Astyanax mexicanus: one gene and its partners. The protein of the gene in region 1 purifies or fractionates together with the protein of each later gene. This does not show direct contact. Links are inferred from orthologs where the notes say so. Each region holds a gene or a part of one and is shown on either strand. Other genes may lie near its edges.

Region 1 (8,647 bases):
AGAACCTGTTTGGTCTATGTCCGATGCCGCAAAAACCTAAACAAAAGCTCCGCCGTCATGTTGCGTGTGTTGTGTGGGTTGCTCGCAGGAGGGAGGGAGAGAGAGGCGGGGGTGCGCGGGAGGGGCGGGGCTAAGCTCAGTCTAAAGTACGGGCCCCACAGGGGAGCGTCAGTGGTGAAAATTAAAACTCAGAGAAAATCGATTTTTATAAAAACACAGCGTCCTTAACCGTAAATTCGAATTAACCGATAAAATCGATTCATCGCCCAGCTCTACCTGGGCTTAAAACGAAACCTTACTCCAAGACAATTCTGCTATCTATCGTTTGTTAATACTACGGAGAGTAAAGTTTGGGTAACACTTTATTTTACATTATGATAAGTACTGTGTATTTAATAGGTAAATAAGATAAGGCTACTGATTTCACGTATTTACTAAGTCAATAGTGAACACCACTTAAACTACCAGGTACCGTGTTGTGAAAATGCCCCCTTACAGATTCATTTTGTTTTAGCTTTTTTAATCATATTACCTTTTCAGGATTTACAGGTAGAAAGCATAATTCGTGGTTCCATAAATTACAGTAATTTTTTAAAGAGCCAGAAGCAGCAAATCAGCCCAAAGACCATGATACTACCACCAACATGTTTGACTTTTTTAAAATTATGTGTTTTGAGCCAAATGGGACCAACGGGCCTGTGGTAATCAGGCGTACACCACAGACGCAGGCAGCATGTGTCTATTACAGATCACTATGCTTGATTTACGTGGTATTTGGTAAATGATTGATAAACTGACCTTCGCTTGTCCCACCACACTGCGGCCAGTCCCCGGCTCTGGAGCGCTGCCATAATCACGTTCACATCATAGTTCCCTGTCCCCAACACCGAGCGGTGCGGGTTCACCACACACTGCGGGGCGAGGCTGAAAAACACAAACAATATAACATCTTGTCTATCCAAAACTGTGTCCTAGGTGCTATGGGGCTAAGTGCTTGCTAAATGAGTGCTATAGATATCTTCTCTTCTAACAGCTTTTTTATTTATTTTATTTTTAAAAATGCAATATTTTCCATTAATAAAATTGTTTAAGCTTTAACTATAACAAAGTTTCGTTCTATCAGAAGAATAAATATAATATAATAATAATAATAATAATAATAATAATAATAATATAAAAAAGGGTATCGCGATATTTAGTTTCCTTCTAAAATACATTGCAATTTTTAAACAAATTTCTCCAGAAGTCTACAGGTGAGTAAGAGTGAAGAGGCTGGGTATTCTCACCGCTTGCAGATCTCATCCGCCGTCTCTTTAGTGAAAACTCTCTCCTGCAGTACGTTGTTTAATGCGTGGATGGCGCACAGCTCCAACCTCTGCTTCTCATGAAACACCTCCACCTCGCTCATTCTCCCTCACACACAGGCAGCTGACCACCTACACACACACACACACACACACACACACATCATTACAGCAGTGTTAACAATTAGTCAACATAATAGACAAATGCTAATTATTACATTTTAACGAATAATCCTTAAGTAGTCCAGCCTGTATTGCTCTTTACTCAAATGTATTAATATTTATTATTAATATTTCATAATAAAAGTGCAGATAAAAGCCTGAGCCAGTAAACTATCTGTGATAAATTGAAAAGGGTCTGGTCTCAGACCCTAGCTTGCTTTCGCACTGTCTCTTGCTAACACGCTGTCTCCCGCCTCTCCTAACCTGAGATATTAAAGTACAGTAAAAAGCTCTAGTCTGCCTGACCTAAACCATACTGCACTATTATTACACCCCCTCTCAAAAATACAGGGAACTAGAGCATTAAAAAATATTATAATTTTTTCTAAGTGATTGACATCACAAATATAAATTAATTTGTCAATGTAATGCTGAAATTTTTCCTCTTCTAAAACTTCTTAAAAGTGAAATGCACACAGCAATATGCGTAAGAACAATAATTGATAAAGTGCCACAAAAATGCTATGTAATAATAATGATTGTTTTCTTTGGTTACAATTTAGAAAAAAAAACGTATCGAAAAAAGTATTGTCTGGGAATAGCTACTGGTATCGACAATTTTAAAAACGATACCCAGCTCTAATTACTATCATTATTATTATTATTATTATTACTATTATTATAAGAGAGGAAAACGCAGACCTCGATTAATATATATTTATATTACAAAATACATGTATTTAAATTTTAGTTCTGCCAGTTAAGATTCTTAGTGCTTATAATTTAAAGGGCCTTTTTTCTCCTAATAAGAACAGCGGCGGATCTTAGCTGACTAGTTTGGGTTCCAAATGTCCGCCTCTACTTCTAAGATAATGGAGGTGGTAAATTTCCCAGCTATGGATAGTTAACCTTACTGAAGCTCAGTGATTACCTGTTCAGCAGAAACATAGTCATCTAAATCATTTTCATGCAGTACACTGTTTGGGTGCTGTTGTGTTGTATACCTGGCAACCCGGAGTGTGGAAATAGGTATGGGGGAATTCAGAGACTAAAACCCACACAGAATACCATAAAATACTGTATAAATCAAATAAGAACATACTGGTTGAAGCTGTCATTGGCTGCCATTGCCAAAACTCAGTATGTTTCATCAATATCTGAGGACACATTCTGGTCATGTTATGAGATATTACTGAATACATAAATCGCTAATGGTCCTTTAAATATAATGTCACAAGACAAGCCTCCATTAAATTAAATGATGGGGAGGGATTTGGGTCAACAACCTAAATAATCGGCAGATTAATCGACTAGCTACCAAAAACATATATTAGTTACAGTCATAGTTTACAATTAAAGTAAGTTAGAAACACTAAAATGGGTTTAGTTTATCATTCGAAGTTTCCGTTCCGCCTTAAACGCAGCATTGCTTATAATATAATTTAAGGTGGAACTGACTAATTCAAACATGATTATAGTGGAAAAAAGCCAACGTTTACGTCGTTTTCTCGAAAAAACAATCAAGGACTTATTCACACTCAGACACACTCATTTTTAACACACTCTCTCTACTAATATTTAGCGTTTATTATTATTTAATAACACAAAAATAAATATCACCCAATCAACAGCAGCACTCAGTGAAACACACACGCCCCTAGTTAGTTAACTTTAGCTAAGATAGTTAGCCGTTAACTGTCCTTACCTTTAACTGTGAATCCTTACGAGTTAAAACGACGTTTAGCCGATATCTCAGGAGTTCATAAATAAAATATAATCTTATAAAAACGCTTCATTTACATCTAAACCGACAGCCCTCAGTGAGGTGATGCTACTGAGTGTTAGCATTTAGCTGAGAGCCGAGCGAGTGTAAGTGTCCTGTCAAATAGTGCTACCCACCTGTATGTGCTACTTTGCCGTTATGCGCATGCGCAGATTCAGACGTTTCGAACCTTTTCATGTGATTTTCATGATAATTCTGTTTTTCTTGTGTGAATTTTACACTTTTAGCGGATTATTATTGTTATTATATGCTTGAGTGTTACAAAAGAGTAACTCGCAATTTATAACAGTAACACAAAAAAAATTAGTAGTAAAAAAAATCTTATCAGATTTTAACATGTCTCTATTTTTGCTAAATATCTTCTGCTATCGATATTCTATACTTCTGTTTAATTGATATATATATATATATATATATATATATATATATATATATATATATATATATATATATATATATATATATGATGCTTTTGGCCTATAGAAAGATCCTACCTGCTTCTATTTGGGGCAGGTTTTGGTACCTGAACATAAAATCGACAGAACACCGGAAGAAGCGCTATTGTTGTTGTTGACGCCCTGAACTGTGACGATATTTTCTTAAAGCAACATAAATTATTATTGCTGAAAAAAGAATATTGCTGGGAAATAATATTATTCACGTAGAAAAATCTGAATCTGAAATTTGAAAATATACATAAAATCTATATAGTATATAGTATATATGAAGAATATAAAAAAGTCTTGAATAACCAAAATTAATACTGTCTGTCTATGATTAAAGTTATTATTAAATATTGCTATAGAAAAAATGATAAAAATGGTAAAAGTTCTTTTATTTCCTCGTTTTATTTGTTTACATTTATATGGGCTACAGTAATGTAAAGATTAGACAACTAAACAAAATAAAAAAATATAATGTATAAGTAAATAAATAAGTTTATACTGGAATATGACATATTTCTAAGTTCTAGACAAAGTTAACAAAAAATACTGCATTTTACTACATTTATAATACTACAAAACTCAAATTTAATATATACTAGCTCAGGATATTCCTGAGTATTTCTGCTAAAAATAAAGAAAGCCTACCCATGTATTTCCATTTTTCTTCTACGACAAAGGTTTTTAGATAACAGATTTGCTAGCATTTCTCACTGTAACTGATTGATTGTTGCTCTGATGCTGATGTGTTCTACAGCCAGAACACATTTCTTAAAAGTCATATAAGTGGAGTTTTAAAGCTTTTAAATGTATGTCTACAGTACTGAAGAATTTGGTATTGTTCCATATTGATGGAATTAGAAAAGATGGGTATTCTGTGTCCTTACTGATGATAATACTCTATTGTAAAGAACATCTAATGACTTTTGATGCTGGTCAATAATTCTCCCTGACAGGCTGACTTACATGTTTCCCAATATTATATTATTAATCACAAACACCTTCAGTTTCCCAATCAGATAGAATCTCAGACTGGCTTTTTACTCTCCTCAGAATAGATACACAGTGTAAGTGGTGGGACTGTAGTTCACAGAACACACAACCTTTATCCTCTAATCTTAAGGTAAACAGAGCATTCTGAGAGCAGGCTGAAGCACTGTGTATATTGGAGCGCCATCTAGAGGACTGAATAGACTGGCCACAGCCCTCACTAAACACAGATCTGCTAAAGGATGAAAAAATTAAACAAGCATAGGAATCTGAGATACTTTGACAAAAAACAAATTGTGATGTTCAAGACCAGATTAGACAATATAAAAAATAGACAAAAGAGGGCCACCGTACCAGTCCCTGTTTCTACCAAATAATTCAGAATTTTTCTAAACATTTTATCCAGAACACGAAAAATCAAAAACATCCATCACTCAACTCTGTCACATTCAACCCAGTCACACTCAACCCAGTCACATTCAACCCCATCACACTCAAACCTGTCACATTCCATTCTATAATATTCAATCTGGTCACATTCAACTATTTTATACTCAACTCTGTCACACTCAGCTCCTTAACCCTGTCACATTTAACCCCATCACATTCAGTCCTGTCACACTGGGAACGCTCACAGATGCGGGGCAGTGGTGTGTGCCCACACTCAATAAATATATATATATATATATGTGTGTAAGTATATATGTATGTAAGTATGCAGGTGTGTAGGTAGGTAGAGAAAACTCATTGCATTTATTTAATTAATTACTATGAATCATTAAGCAGCATTAATAAATCAGTATTTTACAGAGACTGTCACAAAAACAACCTCAAAAAAGAACCCTAATTTTTCTATAAAAGATATAAAACATCACATAAACTTTATACGTTTAAAGAGTTTTTTTATGTATTGAAAGAAAGTTATATTTGCATGCTTAGCCTCGCCCCTGCTGTGTGTGGGCGGGTCTGAGTTATTCAAACTGGCCAATCGCAGAGGAGCATTTTTCACATTCTACGGTCCAGCTGGACTGCGTGGTCGCTGAGAGCGGCGACGTCACTCCTTGCGTGTGCTGTGATTGGTTGAACGGCTGCGGTGGCTTTTGCAGGCAGGTTTTATTGCCGGAGCTGATTGGCGGAGCGGCCGTGCTCTCTCTGTTCGTATTTTTGTTCCTGTGTCAAAAGCAGAGAACTGTTAGCTCGCCAAGAAGAAGTCAGAACCGGTTTCTGATGCGAGTAAGGCAACGACACCGCTGCAGTCTCCTGCGTTTCTTTTATTTCAGTTTATTTAGTTTATTTTAACCGGGTTTGGGGACCGGTAACTCCAGCAGAGACGAGAAACTAGCGGAGTTAGCATTAGCGCTCTGGCTAATCGCTTCCAATAGAGCAGACTGATCTGACTCCAGGCTCCGGCTGAGCTAACGCAGAGTTTAGTGGCGCTGAAACCGAAAACAGTCTCATATTCGGTTTAATTCGATTTTAAATTGTCGTTCGTTTCTTTCTTGAAGTTATAGCTAGCTCCTTAGCTAGGTGTTTGCTCTAGTAGGTGTCAGAGTGTTGAGATAAGCTAGTAAGCTAGCTAGGTTAGCTTAGCTACATCGTTAGCCTGCTCGCTCAGTTTATAGCAAGGCTCAGTTTCCTAACGTTGTTAACTACAGTTCCATCTCTAAAGACAAAATGGTAAGTTATTCCACCTTAAATACTCCTTTTCTGATAAAATACATCAAAAATATTTGTCTAACACATTCGGCGTGGAGCCAACACCAACCTAAGTTAACTAGGTTGGTGTTGGCTAGTAAAAGCGCTTCTGATTTCTTTTAAATTGTTCGTTCCACCTTAAATGTCTTAGCAATTAACTAGTGTGTCTAGCTGAACCCTGTCACCTCATTTAAGGAAGCGTCAGTACTAATAAGAAGCTAACCTAGCAGTCGTGGCTAAATAAGTTTTTAATATTTTTTTATATTCCCCTTAAATTCCTTAGCAGTTTAGCTAGCTGAACTATATTAGTTTAGCTGGCTGGTTTCTGGCACCTCATTTAAGGTGGAATGGTCAGTACCTATAAGAAGCTAACCTAGCAGCCGTGGCTAGGCTAACCTTCAAGGCTTGACGATACAATTGACTGATTTTAACCTAGCTGTTTTTTCGATTAAATTCCAAAAGTAATCTAATTTTGTAGCCTAGCTAGCTATTCAAGACCACTAGCTATATCCATTTTTTGTATTTAAATTTCATAACAATATAACATATGTTTAGGGTAATACAATTAATATTTTTATTTGTTAGACTAAGGCGATAATTTTGTGTTTAGAGATACAATTCCATCCAGTATTAATAATTAGTGTGAAAACATAATATAAAACTTAAGTCTGAAAAGTAGGGATCCACCAATATGGAATTTCTGAGCTGATACTGATTCAATATTACACGTACATATCTGCCGATATACACGTTGAACTTGTAGCAAGAATTCACATACTGGTATAAATTCGTAACTTTTAGAATTAATAACAGAGATTGGCTGAACTTAATGTATTTTAAAATAGCAGCGTGTCTATCAACTGAAGTTATGTTTGTCACTATAATTACTTTATTGAGTTATCCAACAATAAGTGAACACAACCTTAACAATATATGATACTCTTGATTATTGTTTGTTTGTATGATAATTGACAGTTAACATTTTTTAGCCAGTCATGCAATGACCAATGCTTTAATAACTGACTTTATACACACAGTGCAAACTGCAGGAGATGAAAAATAAAGGATTAATTTTACCAAACTATGATTAATTAAAATGTTGTCTTAAAATGAGTATAATGTATTTGTTATGCTAATAGATTATCATTGTCAGTGCCATTGTGTTAAAATGACAACTTGTTTATTGCTATAATTTATGGGACAATATATTGTCCACAAACAATTTATTGATATCATTGTTCATTCCTACTTACTAGTGTTCTGTATACCACCAAAAGATATAAAGACCCACCCTTTTAATTCTAGGCAGCCTGATTTATTATTGAGTCCCTTAATACAATATATATTTGGAATTCAATTGTTATCATGCAGCATCAAATGGGCTGTCTTCTGCCTTTTTGTGTGTGTTTCACACCTGTCTTGTTTGGTCCAGACTGCAGGTGTAAAAGGGGTTGTGAACCACGGTCCAGTCCAAAGGACCAGAGTTTGGTCAGACTTAAAGAGGTGCTCTCATTCTGCATCTACTGGTTCATCTGCATCTGTGTGAAACACTTATCTAGATAGATCAACTTTTTTGGATCTTTTACAGGAAATTGAGTCAGTCTTTAAACCAACCAGAGGAAAAAGAGCTGGTGTCATGCCGAAACCTCATTCCCTTTGCGCTCAGGCGCATCAAGCAGCAGTATAGGCGCAAATGCTTGGACTGAATTTATTTAATTAATGTAACAATAGATTTATCCTTATTTATAAACAAAAATAAAGGAGTTTGCTGATAATCTTTTTCATCCGTTCTGCTGTGGCAGGCATCCTTATGTAAGGGGAAGTCTGATTCTGACAGAGCTAGAATTCGTCACAACATAAACCTTAGTGTTAGAACGCCATTTTTTAAAATGTATGTGTTTTAATATATTTTTAATATTCATTCAATTTCAAAGCAGGGTAGCCAGTGTCTGCCAGCTTACCTTGGGCCAGCATACAAATAAATCAGCAGGTAGCCTACTAGATAGACTTTAATTAAGTCCCAATAATACAATAGATATCTAGTTGTAACCGTATAGCACTAAATGGGTTATTCTACTCTAAACTGCTCAACTAAACTGGTCAAATTTAATGCAACCAATCAGAGCAGACCTCATTCACATACCCTAATAACATTAACATAATTTCCTTTAAAAAAGCCCTCACACATACCCAAAAAGAAACTAGGGACAAGAGGGTCTTTAAAAAAAAAAAAAATCTGTTGTTGCTATACTAATGCTGCTAACAGACAC
Region 2 (8,852 bases), on another chromosome or scaffold:
TGAAATAATGGTTGTGCTGCTTACGTAATTCCAGAAAGTATCTAGGGTGTTGCTAATTGGTTGCAGTATGGGTGCTATGGTATTAGAGGTGGTGACTGTCACCACAGCTGTTGCTAAATGGTTGTAAGCTAGGTGATACAGTATATCAGGTGGTTGACATGGTGTTGCAAAACAGATGCTAGATGGATGCTACAGCATGGCAAGCTGATTGTTGTAGTTGGTGCATCTAGAGTGGTTGCTGTGGTGTCCCAGGTAGTGGCTGTTGTACCCCCTATATGAATGGCTGGGTCTTTGGGTATTATATCAGCATTATACTCCAAAGTGCCACAATGCTGTATCCAATTCATTCCTATGGAGAAAGGAATCTGCAAATATCCATACTCATATCCATGCTACAGAAAACTGTAGTCCAGCATAAGCATTATACGAAAATATAAGAAAGAGAATTTATAAGGAATAAAAAAAGACCATTATCTGTCTCAGGGAAGGCAGTACTGTTAATCACATGCACCATTTCTATAATGCTAATACAGGAAAATCCAGCCTCACAAAACGTTTTTAATAAAGATGTCAGTGTGATCAAGTAAGGGGAAAATATGTATATACGATTCTTAACAAATCAGAATAATAAAAATAATAATAATAGTTTCTAAGCAGGTGCATACCTAGTGCCAACCAAGTGTAGCAGGACATATAAGTACGCATTTGCACAGAAATATATTTCTAGAGTTGTGCATCTGAACACACATCCCAGTTACAGACACTCCCTTGAGCAGCCCAGCAGGGAAAGCCAGCAGGGTGAAAATTCCATTAAGTACATGGTCTTCTCCCTGGCTGCTTAAAGCTTATGATAGAGAGGTTACAAATTCAGCAGGGTCACAGCTTATGCTGTGCTTATGCCCCTGCTGTGCTTTATGGATGGCTGGTGGTCACCAGCTAGGAATGACTCAGCATCACTGGCACAAAATGGTGGAGCAGGACGGATTTGCTGTTTTAGAAATGAGATGTTCCGAATAGTAAAATACCTGAAATGCTTTTCAGAACACAATTTCCTCCAGTGAGATCTGAGGGATGAATGCTGCTCTGCCTGGAGGAGCGAACATTTCACAAGATGTACTCTGTAAGCAAGCTAAGGAACATCCTCCTGTCTCTATGCTTTTTTCCCTCCCTCATAAACAGTGATGAGGAGACTGAATGTTCCAGCAGTTCCCAAGAACGATCTGAATGACCTTGCTGTAACAGTGTGTAGGCTGATGCTAAAGATTCCCCCATGGTAAGCCATGCAATGGATGATGAGTACAGATGCCACTTGCTGCCTTGCATGCTAAGAAGCCAGGAGTGCATTCTTTTATTAAAGAAGTCTACTGTACTTACACTTTAATACAGTATCTAAATGAATCTAAATAATAGCTGGTAATTACATATATTTATGAATGGCTTGAGATGCAGATGGTTGCTTAAGGCCACAAAGAAGCAAAAATCAGGGCTGTCAGTGGCTGAAGCAAACCTGGCACAACAAAAAGCTAGCATAATCGTAATAATTTGCTGACTAAAAATTTCATTGTCAATTATTTGTTAATTTGTAATGAGAAAATTGACCATAGCCAGCCTGTGATAAACTGCATTACATAGCTTTATGACTTAGGTGTCTACAGCTTACTGCTAGGGCAGAGGTTGCTTTTTGAATTCATTTATTTCATTGTTATTGTGATAACATGATGTTATTAAATAAAAAAAAATCAATCTGATTATGTTATCACTTTATATTTGTGTTTAATGTGTCAATTTAGTTTGATGTTAGAATGTATGCTATGCTATGTTTATTTATGTGAAGGCAGAGAATAAAACAGCAAGATGAATCAAAAACAGGAAGCAGATAGGTATGGAGGGCATTACAAATAATCGTTGAATAATAATAAAAAAAAATCGTCAGATTAGTGGACTACCAAAAAAATCGTTAGTTGAAACTTTATTTGCTACCTTTATGTAGCTTGTATGAAGCCAGCTATAAATTACGAGGCTACTGCATCGCACAGGTATTATTAGAACCAGGGTACCGGGCTTTAAATCAGCTTTAATTCAGCTTATTTGAGCTAGCTAATTAGGATATCTTTTCTATCAATTCTCACTTAATTATTATAACTGGCTTCATACATTTTGTGACAAATAAATTTCCACTACTTTTTCCATGTCTTCATGGCAAATTTTCATGACAATACGTTAAAACATCAGCGCAGACATGGACAATAAAACAAAACAAAAAACACTAAAACTATAAAGATAAAAAAAAACTTTAAGCAATGTTGACACGATCTTCAATAATAAAATATGTTAGATCGTGAGATCGCCATTGTAAAGGGCTATATTACTGAACTAAATCTGAGCTGATGTATTTGTTAGCTCAAAATAGCTTTTCTCAGTCGTTATATTTGCAGACTGTACATTTCCATGACTTTACCAAAACTATTATAATTTTTCCAAAGCTTATCCAGGCCTGGAACTTGCTATTTTCAAATTAAATTACTTTTCTAGGTTTTTCAGGACTGGTTCCTGTTATAACCTAGATAACCTAACGTTAGGTTAGCAAACGTTAAGTTAAGTTATTTTACCTTCAGGAGCGTTATAACAAACTTAATATTGTGGACACGCACCAGAGCTAATTATTTAAACCTAATTTAAGTCATACCTTAGTAAAAATAATAATTATTTAGTTCGTATACAAAAGCAAAAAATATAGCTAGCTAGCTCTAACGCTAAGCTATTGCGTTAGTCAACCTACCTTACACGTAATGTAACACACAGCGCCACGACAACGCACTGCGGACTACGTTATTAAATTGGCCACCTTTATTAAATGACCAAAAACTCGGTATTTAGCTAGTTAGGTTAATTATTCCGCATCTGTTCCCTGTTGTCAAACACACTAAATAAAGCAAGTGAGTCTGAATCCTGGCAAGGTGACAGACAGCCCTTTAATTCAGACCGTTAGCTATCCATGCTAACTACTAAACTAACGCCAGTGGTCTCCACACACACAATGACATAGCTAGCGCTAGCTCGGCAAGCTAACCTAACCAACACGCCAGGATGTTTCCCCACAGGTCCCGTTTTAAATAAAATAAACTCTTGACATATAACTAAAAACATGTCCGCCGTACCTTTTTCATCCGGGGAGCCTCCGCCACCGTGCCATCCCGGTTAACGAACGCCTCTCCGCCGTTCTGCTGCGGGTCCGGCCGCTTCATCGCGGACGCCTGGGGCATCTTCACTGCGTTCGGCGTCGAGCTGAGCGGACTCGGGTCCCCCTTCACCACCGCGGTGTCCGCTGTGGGGGACGGAGCCGAGGCGTTCAGCTCGCTGTTAGACAAACCCTTCTCCTCGGCTATGGGTGTCCGCGGCGACACGGCGCTCAGCTCTTTATTCGGGACGTCTTTTAATTCGACCTCGGCCATTTTCGCTGCTACAACCTGAACTGACATCGCTGCAATCCAGTCCTTTCTCACTCAGCACAGCGAAGAGACTCACGAGCCGACACCACTGGCTGAGAGATTAACCGCACAGCACTGTGGGACATGTAGTCTTCACCGACTCTCACTCGCAAAACTCTCACTCTGGTTCCTCACGATAATTCACCACAGAATATTTTTTTTATTTATACTAAAATAAATAAACAGTTTAATTGTTTCTCATCAAGTGGTATTTAGAATAAAAAGAAAGGCTAACACCTTATATATAAACCAGCAATGTTGTCAATTCAGTACACCAGAGTACTATACACCATGTGCTATTTATAGGTATATGTTTGAGTAAAATGAACATTGTTTTTTTATTCTATAGACTACGGACAACATTCATCCTAAATTCCAAATAAAAATGTTGTCATTTAGCTTTCAGACCTCAAATAATGCAAAGAAAACAAAGTTCATTTTCATAAAGATTTAAGAGTTTAGAAACATTTAGTGGAATACCCTGGGTTTTTAATCACAGTTTTCATGCATCTTGGCATGTTCTCCTCCACCAGTCTTACACACTGCTTATATCCCAGAGGTTTTCAATTTGGTAAAATCACAGAAACTCATCACTTTTAAGTGGTCACTTATTTTTTTCCAGAGCTGTAATATTTAGCCAGACACAATACTTCACTTACTGGAAGAAATAATTCACTCTACTGAACAAAAATGTGATAATTAGTTCATCCAATTTAGAGGGACACTTTAACTAAAACAAGGGAATGATTTATTAAACAAAGGAACATTTTATTAATGTGATAGTCTGGTTTAAATAAAGGAAACATTCTTTTCTACTAGAGTACGTACAATCTGTAAAACTTGAATAGGATTACTGTGATAAAAAAAAAAAAAAAACCTTCTTTGTCCCTAAAGCCACTGGACTGTAGGACAAGAGAACAGATGGGAAGGAGCAGTAGACCGATCATAACATAAACCAGACTATGTGCAATAATATTACACAAAGTGCAATAATTATGTGCAATACCTCTTTTGCTGAAACATTTCACTTTATTATATTTTTGTTCTATTCTTTGTGTGTACTATAATAATCCCTCCTAAATTGATCAATATGATCTATCTATGTATCTGTTTATTTCAAATAACCACAAATTAAAAAGAGATCACATACTTACACGCAATTATACACTGATCTTCACAATCACAAATGTTTTGTGTCTTACCTTTTTAGGATGCTGTAATTTTCTATGCTGTCCTTTTTGTAACACAATTGCAACCAAAATCTATGTAGAACTGGAATGTTAGAACAAGATATGACACATATTGCACAAATACCCACAGTAACCTTTAAAATGTCTCAAAACCACTAAATAACATAAGTCAAATGGGAGAAATATTATTTATATAAAGCACTAGAAAATGCCATTAACATGGATCACTGAGTGAAGTATTCCTGAACAATATACTGCCATCCAGTGGAGAAACGCACACACATTAATGCAGTCTAACAACCCCGCAGCATTACAGAAAATATTCATGCTTCTAACCTAGAACGACACAGAATGAGGGTCGACCAATGCACCAATTTCTTTAGTACAGTATGTTTTTTTTGCTGAAGTAAATGCCGACATTATTTTTCCTAATTTCTTTGCACAAGATCACAGAGCATGATAAACATATTGGTAATGCAAAAACAATAAATTCTCTTAAGAGATAAAAGTGAGGAGTGTAAATGATCTCAGATCAGCTGCACCACACTACCCATGGCAGACTTTTCAATTCCCAGACCAGGCTACACCAATTAAACCCTTGGGCAAACTTGTATGACTACACATTAAAAATGACAATATATTATAAAATGTGTGACAGGTATTCTATTTTATTTATTGGTGCAGAATTTTGTGTGATACACTATGGTTCAATTACCTGACCATACTACACCAATAAAAAAACTGTACATTCTTCTCTCTCTAACATTAATTAAAAGTAAATTGCTATGAATAAAATGAATAAGCTATGCATTAGATGAATCCCATGAATGCAAATGGTATAGAGTGAGCACCAACAAAAATGTTCACAATAAAGGACAATGGAATATTGGACAATGTGAAAAGTTTAATTTATTACAGTTCATTTCAGATCAAAATGTTGCTGTGCTTTTCCTAAAGAGCTGAAGATACAAATAGTTTTTTAGCAGGTGATGTTGGAAAAAACATTGACGTACACTGCCCTATAAGTGTTTACAAAAGCCCTTTTGCTAAAGTGAAGAGCAGCAAACAGTGCTCTGCCATGTAACAATCCAGCTGTGAAAGAGACTGTGACAAACATTTGAAGATGTTTACTCCCTTAACCTAAAGAGGTAAATGGTATAGAGCTTTTAGCATCACAATGTATTATTTGGCACTGCTTTAAAAAGTAACTACAGGTCTTATCTACTGCACATGTGCAAAATTACACAAAGTAAAACATACAGTACATCGCTGCTGCAAACCACAATCACATGCACAACAACAGAAGCTTTGGTGTTATTAAAATAATTACCCACTCCAACAGCCCTTGTCTGTGGAAAACTATGGTTAGCTACTTGGGTACTTTTGTAAACAAACCAATTGCCTCCTTTGGGAACAAAATCTCCAGGCTAGTGTTTAGGGCTGACTGCTTGCTCTGGAAAGAGCTTTAGCTGATGAAGATGGTGCAATCATTCAGAATGGGGTCAAGTGGTTCCACTTTTTAATATGAGGTTTAAGTAAAAGATATGAGCAAAAATATTAAAAACAGAAAGTGTCTGAAAAAAATAATTGCTTGTCTGATGCAGGGGTCACCAACTTTTCTCCTGGAGAGTTCAGGTCCAACCTTAAACTAACCAGTTCCACACAATCACTCTAAATTACAGCCTCAGGAGAGCCCGAATAGTTATATAGGATATGTGTGGGACTATGTTCAAACTGCAAGTTCAAATCCAATCTTTCGCATATCTAGACTGTATCCAAATTCTTTTGATAGTCTAGACTGCTAAAAATCACATGAAATCTAACTTTCGTAAACCTGATTACAATCAGATTTGTACAGATGCATCTGAGTCTGGATGCTCTCGACACTTAAATCAGATTCCAAAGTGTATTTTGCTTAACTTACAACACGATACACAACAAGCTCATCATATCAAGAGCGACAGAAGTGCAGGGATTCAACAAGAGTGTCAAAAATGACACACAAATCCAATCTGTTCACATTCAAATAATTTGTGAACAGTCACTTCAGACAGTTGATCTCCAAGAGCAGGATTGGTAACCAATGTTTTAATGGCACTGTGAGCAATGCCAGAGAAGAACCACTTTTCATGTTCCCTTAAAAGATCTAAAGAACTTAATGTAAAAACTCCTAGATCTATATTTATAAATCCAAAAGTGGTTCTTCAATAGCATATGCATATGAAACGTCTAAAGCACCTTTATATTAAAAATGCAGCACAGCATATACAATGCACACCAAGCTAAAGCCAAAGCCTGAGTAAACAATTCACATTCCCATATTTATATATAAAAAATACACCACTTTACACACATTCGAAAGAAAGTTCTGCAACATGCAGAATTATATACAAAGGCAGAACAGAACTGTTTCTCTGTCGACCCACTCTGTAATCTAAGCTCCTGCTAGTTTTCTGTAAAGAGTGTTGCTATTTAAAACCACATTCTTCCCAGAACTTAAAATTATTCAGTGTCTCACGCTGGGCTACAGCTGGGATAAAGTTCCTGGTTAAAGAACCAAAGCACTGTGCATGTCCCCTTAAAGCATGCAACGTCACTACAAATTCTACAAGTAAATAATAATAGTAAAAAAAGGCTTGTGCAGACTTGTGCAACATATTGCTCTTCAAGTGACCCCGTCAGTGTTCCAGTTACTTCAGCTGTAACTTGTGATGAGATTAGTTCCCAAATATCCAAAGAACATTCACTCCAGAAAGGCCCAGATTGACTCTCCTGCAAAGAAAAATTAAGAAACATGCTAAATAAATCTTTTCCATCCTGCGCTGTGAGATTCATGATCATTTCACAACTCTGAGCACTGAGAAAGTTACTCAACTCACGTTGAGTGCCAACAGAGAGGACTTAAATCACACTCACCCCAGCATCCCCGACTCCTTGGTTTTGATGATGAAAAGGAACATGAGGACCGTGTGGAACAAGTTATTTCTTCCCTGTACACAAAGGCACACCAAAAATGAGTCAGAGGAATGAAGGTAATTCTCCTCGGCTGCAATTGCAGGCACTGCGAGAGGTAAAGTAAGAACACACTGTACCTTAGGCAGGCTGTAGATGTGGCCCTGATAGATAAGCTGATAGTGGGGTGGGTTGGTGCTGCTTTGGTGAATGCAGAAGAGGTTCTCGTTGGAAAGATCTGTTTAAAACACACACAAAGTGGGCTTAAATAAAAAAAATGTAACTTGACTGTCAGCAGTTTTTGATGACACTGTGAACATTTGCTTAATACCGGGATTGGAAAACAAAAAAAAAAGTATAATGACATTCAATTTCTCTGATTTTGTTGATGTTTGAGTAAAATGAACATTGTTGTTTTATTCTATAAACTACAGAAAACATTTATTACAAACTTCAAACAAAAATACTGTCATTCAGAGCTTTCATTTGCAGAAAATGAGAAATAACAAAACAGACGAAGAACTTTCAGCCCTTAAATAATGCAAAGAAAACAAGTTCATATTCATAAAGTTTTAAGAGTGCAGAAATCAATATTTGGTGGAATAACCCTGGTTTTTAACTACAGTTTTCATGCATCTTGGCAAGTTCTCCTCCACCAGTCTTACACACTGCTTTAGGATAATGTTATGCCACTCCTAGTGCAAAAATGCCAGCAGTTCAGCTTGGTTTAATGGCTTGTGATCATCCATCTTTCTCTTGATTATATTGCAGTGTTTTTTATTTGGTAAAATCAAAAAAGCTCAAAGATACCATTATAGCACACAAAAATATCATACCTTTGTCACCATATATACATAACATAACATTGGACAGACTTTGTCTGTCTGACTGACTTACCTGGTTTGTGTGGTGTCTGAATAAAATGCTGTGATGTGAAGGTTTTCCCATCTGGGTACTTAGGGTGCGGAGGAAGTCTGGAGTCCAGGTATGTGCACAGAATATGCATAAGGATCTGCAAAAGAAGAAGACAAACACTCATTAAATCAGAACAATAAAATACACACGACTAATGTTGAAATGCACAGCTGTAGAATTTATACGATAAACATAACTATTTATATTTGCTCTTTAAAAGTATGTTAATACGGACAATAATATTAAACAATTACTATTACTTATTAAAGTATTGCTTTTAGAGTGAATAATCAGTACATAATCAAAT
Region 3 (8,100 bases), on another chromosome or scaffold:
ATACAGTAGTTACAATTAAATACAGGGGTTGGACAATGAAACTGAAACAGCTGGTTTTAGACCACAATAATTTATTGTCCTGACGGACAGTTCTGGTGGAAACAGGAGAGTTGAGGTGCACATTGAGTTCTGCCGTGATTTGATCAGCCGTGGTTTTATATTTTTTGGATACAATCCGGGTTAGCACCCGAACATCCCTTTCAGACAGCTTCCTCTTACAGCGTCCACAGTTAATCCTGTTGGATGTGGTTGGTCCTTCTTGGTGGTATGCTGACATTATCCTTGATACCGTGGCTCCTGATGCATCAAAAAGACTTGCTGTCTTGGTCACAGATGCACCAGCAAGATGTGCACCAACAACTTGTCCTCTTTTGAACTCTGGTATGTCACCCATAATGTTATAGTGTGCATTGCAATATTTCGAACAGAACTGTGCTCTTACCCTGCTTATTAAACCTTCACACTCTGCTCTTACTGGTGCAATGTGCAATTAATGAACTAAAATGACAGGTGTTTCAGTTTTATTGTCCAACCCCTGTATATCACAATACTGTAACAATGTGACATACTGCAAAAAAAACCACAGCATCATATTTGCAAAATCTGAGTTTAAAAAATTCTCAATCAAAACAATGGGACCTAATGGGCCATCTCTATTTAAAAATAATTATTTAACACTGGATGTATTATTTTTGTTGCATTTCTGGACAAATTATTTGGTGTGAAATTCAGTGAATCCCTCGTTTTAAACAGAAAAGATCAGATCAGTATTGGCTGATCATGAAGAGTTCATTGACATCCCTGGAAGAGAAAATAAGCACCAACAACGTTTCTGTTTACAGTAGCCGTACACTCGCCCACAGTGATGCCCAGTCCTGCCCGTATCCCCCTCCCTATGAGCTTCACCTGTACACCTGTAGATCAGGACTGGGACTAAGCTAAACTCTGCAGGGTGGATGTGCCTCTGTGAGCAGGTTAGGCAGGCCTGTTATAGACGGACATTTCTGACATGCTGATCCCTCAGCTTATACTATACAGTTTTTTCTCTACCACTGTATATAGATCCCATCATTTCTAGCTACAGGCTTTTCCCAACAGCAAAGAACATTGAATACACAATATTTGTTTGGATGCATTGCATCTTTAAAGGTTGATGAGGGGGAAAAAACATTTAAACTAGATTTATTCAACATTGCCCAACAGGCATCGGTGGGTGTTGAAATTCTGACATTGAATCAACATTTATTGAAATGTTTAGAATGGTAGGTCTGAGGTCTGCTGCTCTTACATTAATGCTTTTACTGTAAAAAGGTTAAAAGTCCTTCACTGTAAGACCAACACAGTGTAGTCTATGAGAATAGTAGACAAATAAGATATATATATATATTTGGGATGAGAATTATACAAAAAAAAACTTTAATTTGGAAAACTATCCTGTAAACATCAGCAGCATTGTCCTGTATATATGCAGGATGATTTATGACAATTAAACATTTATGACAGGTTTGTGACATTAAAAGTATAAAAAATAACACATTGAATGACAAGAGGTGTCTCTGAAAGGTTTGACTGGGACTGTGTGAGTACCTGTGGAATAAGATTATAAAGGGTTCTGGTAAATAGCATGTTTAGTTATAAGTGTGCACACAGCAATAGTCAGCCTGTTGGAGTGTAGGATATAGTGAGTATGAGGGTTGGGGTGTAGTATAGAGAGTATGAGGGTTGGGGTGTAGTATAGTGCAAATAACGAGTATGGTTAATATGAGGGTTGCAGTCTAATATAGTTAGTATAAGGTTTGGGGTGTAGTACAGTGAGTATAGTGTAGTACAGTGAGTATGATGGTTAGGGTATATAGTAAGTATAGTGTAGTACATTGAGTATGATGAGGGGGTTGCAATATAGTGAGTATGGGGAGTATGAAGTTTGGGGTGTAATATAGCGAATATAGTGAGTAGCGTGTAGTACATTGAGTATGAGGGTTGGGGTGTTGTATAGTGAGTGCAGTGTAGTATAATGAGTACCGTGTAGTATAGTAGTGTAGTGTAGTGCAGTATAGTGAGCAGGATGGCGAGTGTCGTGTGTAGTATAGTGAGTGTAATGTTTAAGGAGTGTAGTATAGTGAGCAGGATAGGGAGTATAGAGTGTAGTATAGAGAGTATAATGTAGTATAGTGAGAAGGATGGGGAGTGCCGGCTGTAGTATAATGAGTATAGTGCAGTACAGTAAGTATAGTGAGCAGAATGGGGAGTGAAGTATAGTGTAGTATAGTGAGCAGGATGGGGAGTGTTAGATGTACTATAGTGAGTATAATGTAGTATAAGGATTGTAGTATAGTGAGCAGGATAGGGAGTGCAGTGTAGTGAGTATATTGTAGTATAGTGAGTACAGTGAGCAGGATGGGGAGTGTCAGGTGTAGTATAGTGAGTAAAACGTAGTATAAGGAGTGTAGTATAGTGAGCAGGATAGGAAGTGTAGAATGTAGTATAGAGGGTATCGTGAGCAGGATGGGGAGTGTAGTATAGTGAGTATAGTGTAGTATAGTGAGTAGAATGGGGGAGTGGGGCTGCTGGGTGAGGATGAAAGATGAATCTAGTTTACCTGTCCCGGTCTGACAGCAGCCCCAGCTATCAGAGCTTTACCCCGGTATTATCAGCTCGCTCCCCGGTACAGTAGTGTCAGTTAGCCAGTAGTGTCGGTTAGCCGGTAGCGGCTCTCTTACCTTCTTGACGGACTTGTGCGCGGGGACGGCGGTGAATGCGGCGGACAGCTCGCCCACGTTCATGTTCACATCGCTGTTCTTGGAGACGGTCATCGCGGAGTACTTCTCCGCCACGTTCTCGCTCTCCTTGAACTCCTTGCTCGCCTGCTTCACCTCCAGCTTCGCCTCCACGCCGGGTTCCGTCATGCTGAGCTCGCGGGTCTCTCCGGTTGGGCCGGGACTAGGACCGCTCGGTTCGCTAATGTTCCCGTAACCTTCCGTTTTGTCCTCTAGCTCCGCGCTCTGACCGAACTACCGCTTCCAGAGGAAGCGCGCGAGCTCCGGCCGAGAACACCACACACACACGGAGTGTCGCTGCGGAAGAGAAGCCGCGGTCTCGGTCTAAGCGCCGGTAGACGCGCTGCGGCGGTGCTGAGCTCGAGGTTACCGGCGGGGTTTCTCTCTCAGAGCGGAGCTGATCACAGATTATTACTCGCGGCTCTCCGGCTCCGGACAGGCAGGCAGCATCAGCAGTGGGCGGGGCTTACATACAAGCACCTGCACGCAGAGACCGGGGGGGCGGGGCGAGAGCGGCGGTCACGTGACCTTAAAAAAAATCATACTAAGCCAGACAGTGGAGCAGTTAGTACAGTAGTTTAGAGAGAAATGATGCAGAAAAGAGTTAGAGTCAGTTTAAAGGAATCAAACGTCTGAATAAACGATTCCTTGATTCACTCACTTGAGTCAAGTTTAGTTTTCAACTTTAGGCTGAGACTCAAAAGTGTAAAAAGAATTCACATTCATTCCTCTGAAGGTGAAAGTATAGATACTAGGTTTTAAATACATACTTGAAGTATGATCTCAAGCTTTTTACTCAAGAACAAGTGTAAAAGTACTGGATATAAAACTACTTAAAGTATAACAGTAAAAGTAATATAAGGGGAAAAAATGCTATTAAGAACAAAAGCTTAGGCCGCACCACAGGAGCCTATATACAGCTCTGTAAAACCTTAATGATGTTTTTCTTGATTTTACCAAGTTGAAAACCTCTGGAATATAATCAAGAGGAAGATCAAACCAAGCTGAACTGCTTGAATTTTTGGACCAGGAGTAAAGGCATAAAGTTATCCAAAAGCAGTGTGTAAGACTGGTGGAGGAGAAAATGCCAAGATGCATAAAAACTGTGAATAAAAACCAGGGTTATTCCACCAAATATTGATTTCTGAACTCTTAACTCTAGGAATATAAACATGTTTTCTTTGCATTTTTTGAGGTCCAAAAGCTCTGCTTCTTTTTTGTTATTTCATCAATTTCTCATTTTCTGCACATAAAAGCTCTAAATATAATATTTTTGGAATTTAGGAGAAATGTTGGCTGTGGTTTATAGAATAAAACAACAATTTTCATTTTACTCAAACATATACCTATAAATAGCAAAATGAGAGAAACTGATTTGGAAACTGAAGTGGTGTATATGTATACAGAATATTATGACCATCTCCTTGTTTCTACATCCATTTTCAATTTTGTCAGCTTCATTAAGCAATTAGAATCAATGTGGAGATTTAGTATCAGCCTGTAGTCCTGTAACTTTTTCTCTGCATATTTTTTTGTTTATTAGGCCACCAACCAAGTACCCAGCCAACAGCTCCCTGTGGGCAGTGTCCTGTGAGCAGCATCCTGTGATCACTGCTGAACTAGAGGATGACCAACACAAATTGTGAAGCAACAACAGATGAGTTTCTAGATTGCTAGATTGAACCAGTACAGCACAAACCTAAAACAAAACCATGCCAGTTTCACTGCAGTGCTGAATGCAGAATGACCCACCACCCAAATAGTAGCTGGTGTAGGATAATAAAATATGTAGAAAAAAATAAAGACTATAGTCTGACTCTAATTTAAAAAATTCATTTACCTTCTGAGAACTCTCCTCAGAGCTGGAACTGGACTGTGATTAAAACAGCTGATACTCAATAAACTGAACTGGATTGGGACATCCTTTGTTTAATATGTTTACGTATCGTTAAGAAAGTGATGACAGTAGGTAGTGCTATGATGAGACAAGTGGGAATGCCACGGTCCATTATCTCATTTGCTGTAGCATACACTTTTTTTCTATTTATAAATTATATTTAAAGTAAATTTTATCATTTTTTCTTTTGTTTAAATTATTTTTGCTATCTTTGTTTATATGTTTTGTTGACTGCAGGTTTTTATATTGTAATCTGTTGTATTTTATTCTTTCTACCTAGATATTTTGTACATTAGAATTTTAGCACTTCAAATTGTGTAGTTTAAAAGTTAAAAAATTTAGCTTAATAATATTGTGTGAGTAGACTGTCATTCCAAGCACTTCACTGCAGATCATACTGTGTATTACTATGTATGTCACAAATAAATTAAAAATTTGATATTTGGAAAACATCAGTGCAGACATGGAGAATAAAACCAAAAATCAACTAAAACTAAAATTATATATATATAAAAAAAAATTAACAATGTTAACACAATCTTCAAAATAATAAAATGTGCGTGGTGTCAGATCCTGAGAGCTCCATTGTGTAAAGCTAAATTACTGAATTAACTCTAAGCTGAGGTATTGGTTAGCTTAAAATAGCTTTTCTCAGTCGATAAATCTCAGTCACATTTGTGAATTGCAAATTTCCATAACCATTTACCAAAACTGTCTGGGTATTTTTGTATGTTTCCAAAACGTATTCAGGCCTAGAACTTGTTCTTTTCAAATGACTTTTCCAGGTTTTTCACGGCCCTACAAACCCTGCCTTAGACTTGTAACCGAAGTTTGGTGTAAAGTTACCATTCACACAATGCCTTTGGTCTCAAAAGGCACTGAAACAAACATATTCCTAACACAGAGCAGGAATGCAGTAGAGCAACAGAAACTAATATGAAGAAACTGGCAGCACATTAGGGCTCTAAAATCTCTGCTTTCACTCCACGGAGCTAAGAGGATTACAGGACAGACCTCAACTTCACAGAATTAAGATCATTTACAGCCTCAAACAGTACTACAAGCGCTCACACGGATTAGACAGGGAGAGGGGGGGGGGGGGGGGAAGCACGATCACACGAAATGTGGATGTTTGCCACTGACCGGACACAATTTAATCAAAATACAGCATGTTCAAAGACTTCAACGTCTAACGTAATTCCTCAAAAAAAGTATCTACATTTACCTGCCAGGGCAGAATTAGGGGAGAGGGATTAAAAAATGGCTGTTTCAAATAAGATGGGAAGACGTGTAGTGCAAAAAGACCATCGGCGACAGAGAACAATGGTAGATTTTGCGGTATGACAACTTTCCTCTAATTCATCTAAATTACAAATTCCATTAAGATTATCAAAATTTGAATGTAAAAAAGTGTTCATGTTACAAGCAATAAATGTACAAGGCTGTGGGCCAGAGGCAGAAAGAAGCCCCCACTTGGAGAACAGGGGGATGAATTGCAAAATTCCATGCTTTAACCCACCCCTCTTCATTCCCCTTTTCAACACATTCTTTCACTGAAGAAAAACAAAAAAAAAAAACACCAACTACACAGATCACACAATATACCAATACACTTTGGGTTATTATGCAACAAGAAAAAAACAACAACACAGTTTTGCACTAACTGGGTCACATGACTCGCTACCCTCACTACCCATCTTACTTTTTAAAACATTTTTTTTCTGGTTCATATGCAAAAGCGCCACATGACAAAAAAACAAGCAGGAGACAAAATTATGAATCTGAGTAACTTAAAATAATCTTTATACACTAACAACTAACCCCAGTACATTTGTTCTATGGTCAGTTCTGAAGAACATATCACAGATATCCAAGCCTGTGTTTTCCCGTTAGCCTTGTAGTTTAGCTTTTGTACAAACCGAATTATTGGCTAATCTCTGAAGGTAATGTAATGATGCTCCTTTTTGCTTGTCACTACTGGCACTGGTTAAAACCAGGATTAAATCCAGGCCCTCACTTATGGCTGAACGTGCAAAGAGGAGGCAAAAGACACTGGGCTGGAGCTGCATTAAGTAATGTCAGGTTCACACTACACGAGTTTCAGAGTCGTCAACTTGTAATGTTGTAATCGGCGACACAGAATCATGGATTACACAAGAGTCTCTCACCAAGAGGAACACACGGCAAAGGCAGCGTTCACACAGCAGGTAAATGTGGCACAAATCCGTGACAGACGTCACTTATGTGGCAGTGTGAATTAGAAGGCTAGTATCACAATCACTGTGTTTTTTAACATAAAAAATGGCCGAATGCAGTGAGAATGGAAAATAAACAGCTTAAAAGAAACCAAGGACACAAACCAAATCAAATTAATGTCCGTGGCTGAGTAATTTTTCTGAGTCCATTTTTCACAGTGAGATAAAATGCTGTATAGCTGCTGAGATTCTGTAAAAAGATGAAACCGAAACTTCACTTGAAGCGCTGTAATTTTGAGCATGCACTCAGTTTAGAAACATGAACTGCTTAAGCAAATGTCACATATGGGTCACCTTTAAAAGATTGCGTAAACAGCCTTTAATAAATATATTTATTTGCGACACTTTCACTTGCCTGCTGTGTGAACGTAGCCAAAAACATATGCAAAAACACTAAGCACTAAGGTGCTACCATATTCCAGATGTATACAATACAACATTGTCTGTGTGCTGATTTACAGCGAAAGCACGCTGAAATAAAACAAAAGAATATGAATAAGTACAAAAAAAAATAATGGATGAAGACTCGGCTTTCTCCTCACCCCGTGCTCTAGCAAGTCGTCCAGTTGCAACACTTTTCACAGTACCGAATTTAGAGTCGCCCACAGGTGCAGATTTTCAACCTGCTAGATATTTACTGTTCACTCGGATCATACCTTTCTTTTTAACCAGTTTACACACCGAAAAAAACGAGCAAACAACAAAGTGTTGTTTTAATGGAAGCCTCTAAATACAGTCGAATCAGGCCTAAAGTCGTGTAGTGTGAACAGGGCCTAAGTGCTGGTTTCACAATATGCACTGTATTTATTTTTTCTCCATTTTTGGGGGCTGGTTGTATTTCCAAGGGGCTTCTTCAGGAGTTATTCAGGAGGAAAGTGAAGAGGAGAAGGTGAAGGTCGTTCTTCAACCTGCTGCTACGAAACACGAATCATCTGGGCCACTGTCTCCTCTCCGCCCTGATTGTCCTCCGGCACCACCTACAGAAAAGAAGGGAGGAGGGGTGGGTGAGTAAGTGGGTGGATCAATGATTACACATGCTCACTCCCTATCTCATAACTCACTCTCTCTGTCTCTCTCACACAAACTTCTGCACATTTTATTAAAAAGAGTAGGCATTTCTTTACCAGTTAACATGAACTAGGATATGTGAACACACTCATTTACAGAATAA

What was found.
Region 2: the proteins of josd2 (region 1) and ahcyl2b purify together in Homo sapiens (affinity purification with mass spectrometry; 3 studies listed by BioGRID and IntAct, counting the BioPlex papers as one, with this or other methods). This does not show direct contact. The link is inferred for Astyanax mexicanus from reciprocal best matches to the Homo sapiens genes JOSD2 and AHCYL2.
Region 3: the proteins of josd2 (region 1) and ahcyl1 purify together in Homo sapiens (affinity purification with mass spectrometry; 4 studies listed by BioGRID and IntAct, counting the BioPlex papers as one, with this or other methods). This does not show direct contact. The link is inferred for Astyanax mexicanus from reciprocal best matches to the Homo sapiens genes JOSD2 and AHCYL1.

The regions. Positions count from the first base shown.
Region 1 is NC_064413.1:7,914,134-7,922,780, reverse strand, and holds the start of josd2 (josephin-2), read right to left. Parts: upstream 3,344-8,647; 5' UTR 3,172-3,343; intron 1,437-3,171; 5' UTR 1,409-1,436; coding exon 1,287-1,408; intron 925-1,286; coding exon 799-924; intron 1-798. Other genes in the region: ube2s (ubiquitin-conjugating enzyme E2 S), read left to right, coding at 6,357-6,359. UniProt on the Homo sapiens protein: Cleaves 'Lys-63'-linked poly-ubiquitin chains, and with lesser efficiency 'Lys-48'-linked poly-ubiquitin chains (in vitro). May act as a deubiquitinating enzyme.
Region 2 is NC_064409.1:14,490,515-14,499,366, reverse strand, and holds the start of ahcyl2b (adenosylhomocysteinase like 2b), read right to left. Parts: upstream 3,541-8,852; 5' UTR 3,480-3,540; coding exon 3,159-3,479; intron 1-3,158. Other genes in the region: tmem209 (transmembrane protein 209), read right to left, coding at 7,396-7,450, 7,595-7,668, 7,771-7,868, 8,528-8,642. UniProt on the Homo sapiens protein: May regulate the electrogenic sodium/bicarbonate cotransporter SLC4A4 activity and Mg(2+)-sensitivity. On the contrary of its homolog AHCYL1, does not regulate ITPR1 sensitivity to inositol 1,4,5-trisphosphate.
Region 3 is NC_064419.1:41,595,292-41,603,391, forward strand, and holds the start of ahcyl1 (S-adenosylhomocysteine hydrolase-like protein 1), read right to left. Parts: upstream 3,233-8,100; 5' UTR 2,907-3,232; coding exon 2,721-2,906; intron 1-2,720. UniProt on the Homo sapiens protein: Multifaceted cellular regulator which coordinates several essential cellular functions including regulation of epithelial HCO3(-) and fluid secretion, mRNA processing and DNA replication.